Oryzias latipes: one gene and its partner. The protein of the gene in region 2 interacts with the protein of the main gene of each other region in a pairwise test. Links are inferred from orthologs where the notes say so. Each region holds a gene or a part of one and is shown on either strand. Other genes may lie near its edges.

Region 1 (3,819 bases), on a different chromosome or scaffold from region 2:
CGGTCTCAGCACATATACATCCTCAATCTACAACACAGTATGGCGAACCGGGGGTTAGCCCCGCCTTAAACCCCTAAGACTCATGTGAAGTGAGGAATCTGGATGTGAAGTTTCACACCATAACTGAGGGAGCTGTGAGCTGAAGTGAGGTCCATGCTGTTTGGCAGATGTGGGTGTGTTCAAATAAATAGGCTAAACTACTATTTACTCCTCCCTCTCTGAGACTACTGCTGTCTCTCAGTATTTGGGCCAAGGTAATCAGTGACATATCATTTGATTTGCCATAACATGAGGCTTTTATACAAATGCGGCTTGTGTATGTAAAAAGTGGTTAATCCTCCTTAAGTTGAGTGGGTGAGGCTTGTAATCAGGTGTGCTCTATAGCCCGGTAATTACGGGTAGTTAAAGTGGAACTTAAAGCCAAAGACGATGTATATTTTAAGCCATATAGATTGGTGAGGGGAAGTATGACCAGCTTAATTTTAAAAGATTTAACTGAAAAGAATCTGAATTATTGGTTTTTCTATTGTTGAATAAAAAAGGAGGTTTTCTAAGTGACGTGTTTGAGAAGTACCCTTAAGGAACATATTCTGTAAAGATGAGGGACTTGCAGTGGTAAAGGTGTTGCGTGACTTTAGGCTTTTACTTTGATATGCACATCTGCCACACTTGGTTTAGGGTGAGAAAAAATGTGTGGAAAGTAGCTGTAGTAGCACCTGCAGTTAAGCTTTAGTTAGTGTTTGCTTCAACCACAGGGTCTTCACTTGGTTGAGGAGCATATTATTCAATTAAACAATTTTTAAATAAACTGATTGTATTTTATGTTGATGAGCCATAGTTGTTATTGTTTTCTTTGTTTAAAACCAGGATACTCATTAAAGAAGACCTACAGCAATGGAAGCATATGGTCCCAGAAATAAAAACCCTTTCTAGCCACAAAAGGAGATGTTCTTATTAGTTTTTTTTTCTCCTCCCCTCTGATTCTCCATCAGGGAGCCCTTTGCAATTTAATCATCACTAAAATCATTAAAAAGATCTGAAGATTAAATTATATTGGCATTTGCAAAATTATGTAATACATTTACATTACAATGAAGAAATTAAAATAATGCATTTTCGCTGTCTGGGGTGTATGAAATCTCCACTTGGGAAATATAACTGGAGAAGTGGACAGACCCTTATTTTCTTTGCCTTTGGTGGCAGTTAATAGGCTTGCAGAGTCTCAGATTTCATTGTATGAACTTTTCTGCTCTTTTGATGGATTTCATTGAAAGTCTCAGCGGTGTTTCTGAATTATGAAATGAAAAACGCATTTTTTTGGGTGGTGAGTTGGTGAAATTGAATTAGTTATACTTAAAATATTGGTTGGCAACTAGGGAAGTATTTAAAGTTGCTTAATTTGAAGTAAGGAGCCGTTTAGATTTTCATCTTTATAATCACACACTGCACGTGGTTTGAATGTGCGTAAGACGTCTGTTTGTGGGTTCCAGGCTTGACTGATGAGGAGATCGAGTTGGCCATCCAGCGCTCTGGTAGCACAGAGGAAGTTCTTCCTCAGAATCCTGTGGGGCTCCCACATCCTCCCTATACAACTCTGCTTGCTCCTGCACCACCCAGTGAGTACACACAGCTCTTTTTTCCCCCTAAACACTTGTTCTGTGAATACTTTTGATGTTCATGTGCATTTTCTTATTTAAAAAAAAGCTATTGAATAGAAATTGTTAACTACATTTGTTGCAGTTGATTTCCACTGGTCTTTGAGAGGTCTTCCCTACCATCTGTGTTAAGTAGGACTGTTAAAGGGATAAACCAAAAGGTTTTTGAATCTTATGATCTATCTCATGCAGCCTTGGTATCGTGATTTGCTAGTTTTTCTGAGTTCAGTCAGAGACTATTCTACAGTACAAGCTAAAAAAGGCAGTTTCTTGGAGTGCCACACTGGTAACATCCCACACCAAAACCTGTATCTTTATTACTTCAGGAAGTTGTGAGTGCTGTCCACTGATTTTCCAATGCAGAATGAAGTCTGCGTAATGTTTAACCCATATGACAATGATTCCAGATGTATTCCACCCTCATTTATTACCACACTGTCCTTGACTCCCTCAGCATCTCATGTTTTGTAATGAAAGTGATGTTGATGGGATGGCCATGTAGTTAGGAAGACTTGCAGCTCTCTGTCCATAGTGGGGGGTTTTATATCAAAACGGCTATAAGGGAGCTGCATAATGAGGTGAGAGCGGGGAGTCTTGTATGGGGGGTCATGCCAGAAAGAGGGGGCTACCTCCCTTTGATGTCCTTCTTATGGGTACGGTGCACAGGGACCCGCATCCATCTCTGTCGCAATAATGGATACTCTGATCTCTATTTCCACACAGTAGAAGGACAGGAAGGCCTCCACTGAACCCAATAAATTTGAGAGGAGATTGGAAAAACGGGGGATGGAGACCAGTTAAAAGTGACCAAATAAAAAAAGGAAGATGGCAATGTGGAACTGGTATAGAAAAGGGGAAAGATAGTGGAAGAATGAAAGGTCTGAGAGGAGGGGTAAAAGAGCAAGTGAAAAGCCCTGGTGATGCAGTAAGACATGTTCAGGGTCAACCACCCATTCCAAGGACTCCCAGGCCCTTCAGGTGCATGGTATTCTGGGATAGGTGACAGTCTATCCCAGCTGCAGTTTTGATGAAAACGCAAATTTATGTGGTTATCATGTGGATGCTGAGAGTGATTCAAAATTTTGACTGGAAAGGTTACAGGTTCAGTGAATGCTGCACCAGCAGTAAAACATACCCTTGAAGAAAGAAAAACCAAAACGGCATTCACCTTGAAATGATGCTGCATAGTCCAATATGAATGGGTCTCTCATTTTATTTGCATGTTAAATCAGAAGTTGTAAAGGGCTCTAGATCAATGTCGTTGACTTACTCCAAGCCCCTGAACACATCAAGTTAAAGTTAAAAGTTAACCTTTTAATCTGGCATCAGCAGAGTTCAAAAATACATATTTCCTGTAGACATTTCTTTGGGGGGTGGACAGGAGCACAGACTCGCGATCCCCCAAAGGGGAGTGGGAAAGAGGAACAACACATGAATCGCACTGTACCAAACAGAGGCATGAAGAGCTAAATAAATGATCAAGAATAGAAGAGAGTAAAAGGAGATGAGAATAGAGGACAGAACCCCAGTGCACCATACTTTCTCAAGCTTCTAACTTCTAGCAGCCTACTAGCAACTAATTGTTATTGTAAATTCAAATAAATTGAAATGGGATTCAAACATGTTAGTAGTAAGTTGCATGCATTATGGCACATATAGCAGATGGTAATAATAATGACAATAATAGAAAATCTACATTTTTAGCATAACAATATTAATACAATATAGTATTAATCTAAGCAGGGGGAATGGGCTGCCCAGGCCCGGTTTATGAAACAATCTTCCCTCTGCTTGGATCTGTGGAAGAAATATGTGTAATGGATGTAATGAACATTATAAATATTACCCCAAACTTTCTTACAGTAGGTGAGGTAGGGGGAGCAATATATTAAATATTCTCGGATTACTAGTCTGGCAATAAGCCTGTCCAAAGAGGAATTTTTTAAGACTAACTTTGAATGTAGAAAACTGTGTCGGCTTCGCTTACATGAGCTGGGAGCTTAGTGGTGGTTAAAGGCTCTACCTCCAACTGTACCTTTTACAAATTCTGGGAACCACTGTGAAAGAAGCATTCTGTTTGGTTGGTAAGGCACTATGAGATCTCTAATGTAGGTTATTAAATGGAATTATTGATAACACTATCTGTCTGGAGGAAAGATAAGGA
Region 2 (4,606 bases):
TCAGAAAGTACCTACAGCACTTTCAGGCCAATCCGCCAAAAAACACAGCAGGAAGCCAGGATTTCCAGAGGGCCGTGCAGGGAGGTTGCATTTCATGTTGGCCCTGCGGACCAAGCGCCACCAGACAGAGGTCACCAGAAGGGGAAGCAATATTTAAATGAATTTGAATTGAAAACTATTTTTCTGATCTGTTAAAGAGCAATTATAAGTTGATTTTCAGAGCGGATCTGTGTTCAGCTCCATATTGGCTGCCAGTTTCAGACATTGTTTCTTCGCTGTTATATGGATAGAAATAGAGCTTCATTCAGCTTTATGTGCACATTTTTTCATGCATATCAGACAAGATAAAACATGTGAGTCTCACATTTGCTGCTGGCCGGTTGCTTCAAGGCTTACTCCTGATGTTTCTTCAGGTTATTGAGTCATGCAGCACAAACGATATTTTTATATATGATGTTTTACAGTCAGGAAGGGACTCTTGGTTTGCTTTGCTACCACTTTTCGATTGAGTGGTAACTCAAGTCCAAAACCAGGTCACAACAGAAAAAAGCTTTTACAAAGCTCTTGCAAAGCATCGCAGGCAATCCCACCAAACCACTTTGTATCAGGTATCTTCAGAACTCTGGCATCTTCTCACCAGATGACACTTAGGATTCCCACCTTAATCTAGCAAACCAAATACCATGATGCCACAGATGACGGAGTCGGCCTCACACGCCCACACTGTGGGGATGACACAGAGCTCGTCTCTGATAGAATGCGAATCGACAGCTCTGCACGCGCTCCCCCACATCTCCTGCCTTCACACTTGACATCACAGAGACTCCCTCTTGAAACCACAGCTCACTTTGCACACACTGAGGCTCTTCAGAGCAGCCTTTTTCACCACTCCCCATCTCAGCTAGGGTTGACTGACGTTGGTTAGTGGGGGGGCAAAGAACTGACATCAGATTTTCACTGTTCGTCCAATGAAATACATGCATGTAATAAAGATCTGGATGCAGTTTTAAGCTTTTGTGATCAATTTAAAGACATTAAACACTTGATATGTAAGCATCCCTTCATGGCAGTTAAAAAAAACATGAACAATATTGAAGTTACTTTTGTGGACTAAACATAAGTTTCATACTGAAACTCCTCTTTCAATTTGTTGTTTTTATTACTAAATAGATCAAATAAATATAATGAACATTTTGAATATTGTTTTAAATATATAAAAATGTATTAAAGTCATTACATCGTTCATAAATTATTTATTAATATACATTATTTTGAGGTTCAAAATTTATGAGAGAAGAGTAATTGATTTTGTCATTACCCATCACTTTTCTGTTGATTCTTTGCGCCCTCTGGTGGACAAAGGTAAAATGAGATTTTCGGTGGATTAAAATGATCAGACAGTACTAATCGAGTTGATTTCATCGATACGCCCATATTTTGAATAATTTAAATAATAAAAAGCAAAAATTGTTTTAAAAAAATCTCTATACAAATTGAATAACATAGTAAGATTCAGAAGTCCCGAAGTGTTTAGACCGGTTTGGATTGATTTGTGGTACGAATATCAACTAGTCTTGCCTGACTTGCTGTTTTCGATTGCTAAAGTGGTACCTTCAATATAAATTGGAAATTCCAAAACGATAAAAGTAAACTACCTAGTAAGCTAGTGTTTCATTTGTTGAAATAACCATTATTGATCAGCCAAAGTAAAACATGTTACATGAAAAGCCACAAAAAAGAGAATAGAAACATACAAAAATATTACAAATCAAATCCCTTAGAATAAAGAAAAAAACAAGGAGTTCAGGAAGGCAACACGGCAAGTCACAGGAGGACATCTGTCATCACAGATATTTTTTAGCTAACCATCACAAACTTCGCGATGGATTCACAGCCCCCACTCAAACCGTGGGAAAGGCGAATTCCTGGGGGTATGAGCGCACCTATAAACTACAGGTAAATGAGATTCAGGAAGTTATTTGTAGGGTTATTAGTTGTTGTTTCGAAGTTTTCCTAGGTAGCCTAATGCTAACGTTGCTAAAGGAGCTACTGCTAAACAATTACAGAACAGAACGAAACACCATATGAAACGCTGGTTAAAGCTATTACTGATTTATAATCAGGATAGTTGTATCTAAGGTACACTAGTTAATTTCAAATATGTTTAAAATTCGTCTAATTGTTTTTAGACTGTGTTTTTAGACTTGTTTTAGTACTTGTTGCTACTAGTTTGCATAGTAGCCAGGCCCCCGTAGTTGCCAGATATTTGTTGCATTGCCTTAATAAACGCAAAAGTTTTGCTATGAATTTTTTGAAAGATATTATCTTTCTGTTTGATTTTTTAATAGTAGCAGTTTTAAATCCATTAAGAACGAAAAAGCAGAAAGTCTTGTTATTTTGCTCAGATTTCTTGGTTGTCCTGCTGGTTTAGCTCCATCACTTTCTTTACACACAGATCGACAGACTTTGGACCAATTGCAGGCTCCTCCATTCCTGCTGGCCCTCCAGTTCTGACCAGAATGGCTCCTCCAGTGCCTGCTCGCCCGCTCCAGCAGTCATACCGCCCATCCTATTCCTCTTTCACCTCCTCTTACAGCCCCTATGGAAGCTCCATCTATGGGGGTTACAGCCCTTACAGCTATGGCGGCGGTTATGGCGGTGGCTTCGGTGGCAGCTATGGTCCGGGAGGGTACAGTCGTTTACCCCACACAGAAGAAATCGCCCCCAGCCGGTTTGTGCAGCAGGCAGAGGAGAGCAGCCGTGGAGCCTTCCAGTCCATTGAAAGCATCGTCCAGGCTTTTGCTTCGGTTAGCATGATGCTGGACGCCACCTTCTCCGCCGTGTACAACAGTTTTCGTGCCGTGCTGGACGTAGCCAATCACCTAACAAGGCTGCGTGCTCACCTCACTAGAGTTTTGTCAGCCTTCGCTCTGGTGCGCACGCTGCGGTATCTCTACCAGCGTTTGCTGCGGCTGCTGGGGAGGAGGTCAGATGTGGAGGACTTGTGGGCTGACAGCACAAGTGATGCTGTGGTGGCGGGTTCCTCCAGGGGATATGAGGCAGGAATGGATGAACAGAGCGTGAAGTCCTGGCCTATTTTCCTCTTTTTTGCTGTGGTTCTGGGTGGACCTTACCTCATCTGGAAGTTGTTGAGCTCCAGCCCCAGCTCTGATGAAAATAGTAAGGCTGGCATTGAATCCTTAATTTTATTGGTTTATTTTTCCGTTTGTTTGAAGAATTTACAACAGAAGATCATAAAAACACCAAACCAATGACCACAGTGTGGAGTTGTCGATTAAAGTATTATTCATTTAATAATACTATTCAATTATCTTGATGTAATCGTGTTTCTTCTACTTGATGTGCTCAATAGAAATGTTGTTGTTTTTTTCAGGTACAAACTGGGCCAGCGGGGAAGACGATCATGTCGTGGCTCGGGCTGAGTATGATTTCTCAGCAGCTTCTGAAGAAGAAATTCCTTTGCGGGCTGGAGACATGCTAAACCTGGCCCCTAAAGGTGAGACCTTCCTCAAATGTGTCGTGATTAATTAAAGTATTCCATAAAACTGCCTTTATTAACAATTGGTATATTTAAATTCTGGTTGCAGAGCAGCAACCGCGGGTGCGAGGCTGGTTGCTGGCCAGTGTGGATGGCCAGACAATTGGACTGGTCCCAGCTAACTATGTGAAAGTCCTTGGCAAGAGGAGAGGCCGCAAGCACGCGGAGATGGAACGGCTCGCTGAGGTCCAGGAGGAGAACCAGCGGGCCTCTCAAACACCAGCAGCTGCGCATGGTTCCACTTCAGATCTCTCCACAGCCTCCATGGCTCCCTCGACAGACCACCTACTAGAATCAGTATACAGAGAAATCCCAGCTGCCTTCGCTCTGGGAACATCCAACTCCAGCATGAGCTCTGACACAGTGTTGAATATCCCTGAAAAGACGGACCTGTGACGACTGTGTGTGCATGTGTTGCATTTACATCGTCTGTCAGTCAGTTCAAGTTTATCATTTCACTAATCAATTCTTCTGTAGGTCTTTGATTTCATTCATCAGCACAGTTTTCCTCTTAAAGTAAAATGGCTCAGAATCGTTTTTGTGTGAGATGATGTGTACTACATCGTCTTTGTGTTCTGTGAAGTCCAATTATGGGATGCATTGATGTATGTTAATGGGAAATGTAAAAGGGTTGTTGATGTCATGATATACATGTGAGGTTTCACCCTCAGGTGAAGCCGGGTGGACATCTGTAGGTTGTTGTTTTTTTTTGGATCAAGTGAAATTTGATTCACTCAGAAATAAGAAAGACTAGCTTTGCACATTTTAAAGTTTGTTAGTCCAATGTAATTTTGTAAATACTTAAAATAATTATTTTGAAAATAAATCTAATGGATTATTTTTTGCAGTATTAATCTGCAACCAAAAAAAAGCACGTCTTATTTTATTATTTGTGTCGAAAAATGTTGCGTGCGTGCGTGTGGAAATGACAGCTCTGTTTGATGTACGACAGAAATTTTGGATTTACGGTTTTCGTTTCCAGGCAACAGGACGCCCTTGGCTGCTGCAGTGCGACATCGGGGGCGACTCCGCAGAAGAAGCGGCCAG

The links.
Region 1: the proteins of pex13 (region 2) and pex14 interact in a two-hybrid assay, tested with the Homo sapiens proteins (2 studies listed by BioGRID and IntAct, with this or other methods). The link is inferred for Oryzias latipes from reciprocal best matches to the Homo sapiens genes PEX13 and PEX14.

Annotation. Positions count from the first base shown.
Region 1 is NC_019865.2:9,549,001-9,552,819, forward strand, and holds part of pex14 (peroxisomal membrane protein PEX14), read left to right. Parts: intron 1-1,490; coding exon 1,491-1,616; intron 1,617-3,819. UniProt on the Homo sapiens protein: Component of the PEX13-PEX14 docking complex, a translocon channel that specifically mediates the import of peroxisomal cargo proteins bound to PEX5 receptor.
Region 2 is NC_019873.2:7,361,340-7,365,945, forward strand, and holds pex13 (peroxisome biogenesis factor 13), read left to right. Parts: upstream 1-1,785; 5' UTR 1,786-1,882; coding exon 1,883-1,956; intron 1,957-2,455; coding exon 2,456-3,180; intron 3,181-3,394; coding exon 3,395-3,517; intron 3,518-3,608; coding exon 3,609-3,955; 3' UTR 3,956-4,430; downstream 4,431-4,606. UniProt on the Homo sapiens protein: Component of the PEX13-PEX14 docking complex, a translocon channel that specifically mediates the import of peroxisomal cargo proteins bound to PEX5 receptor.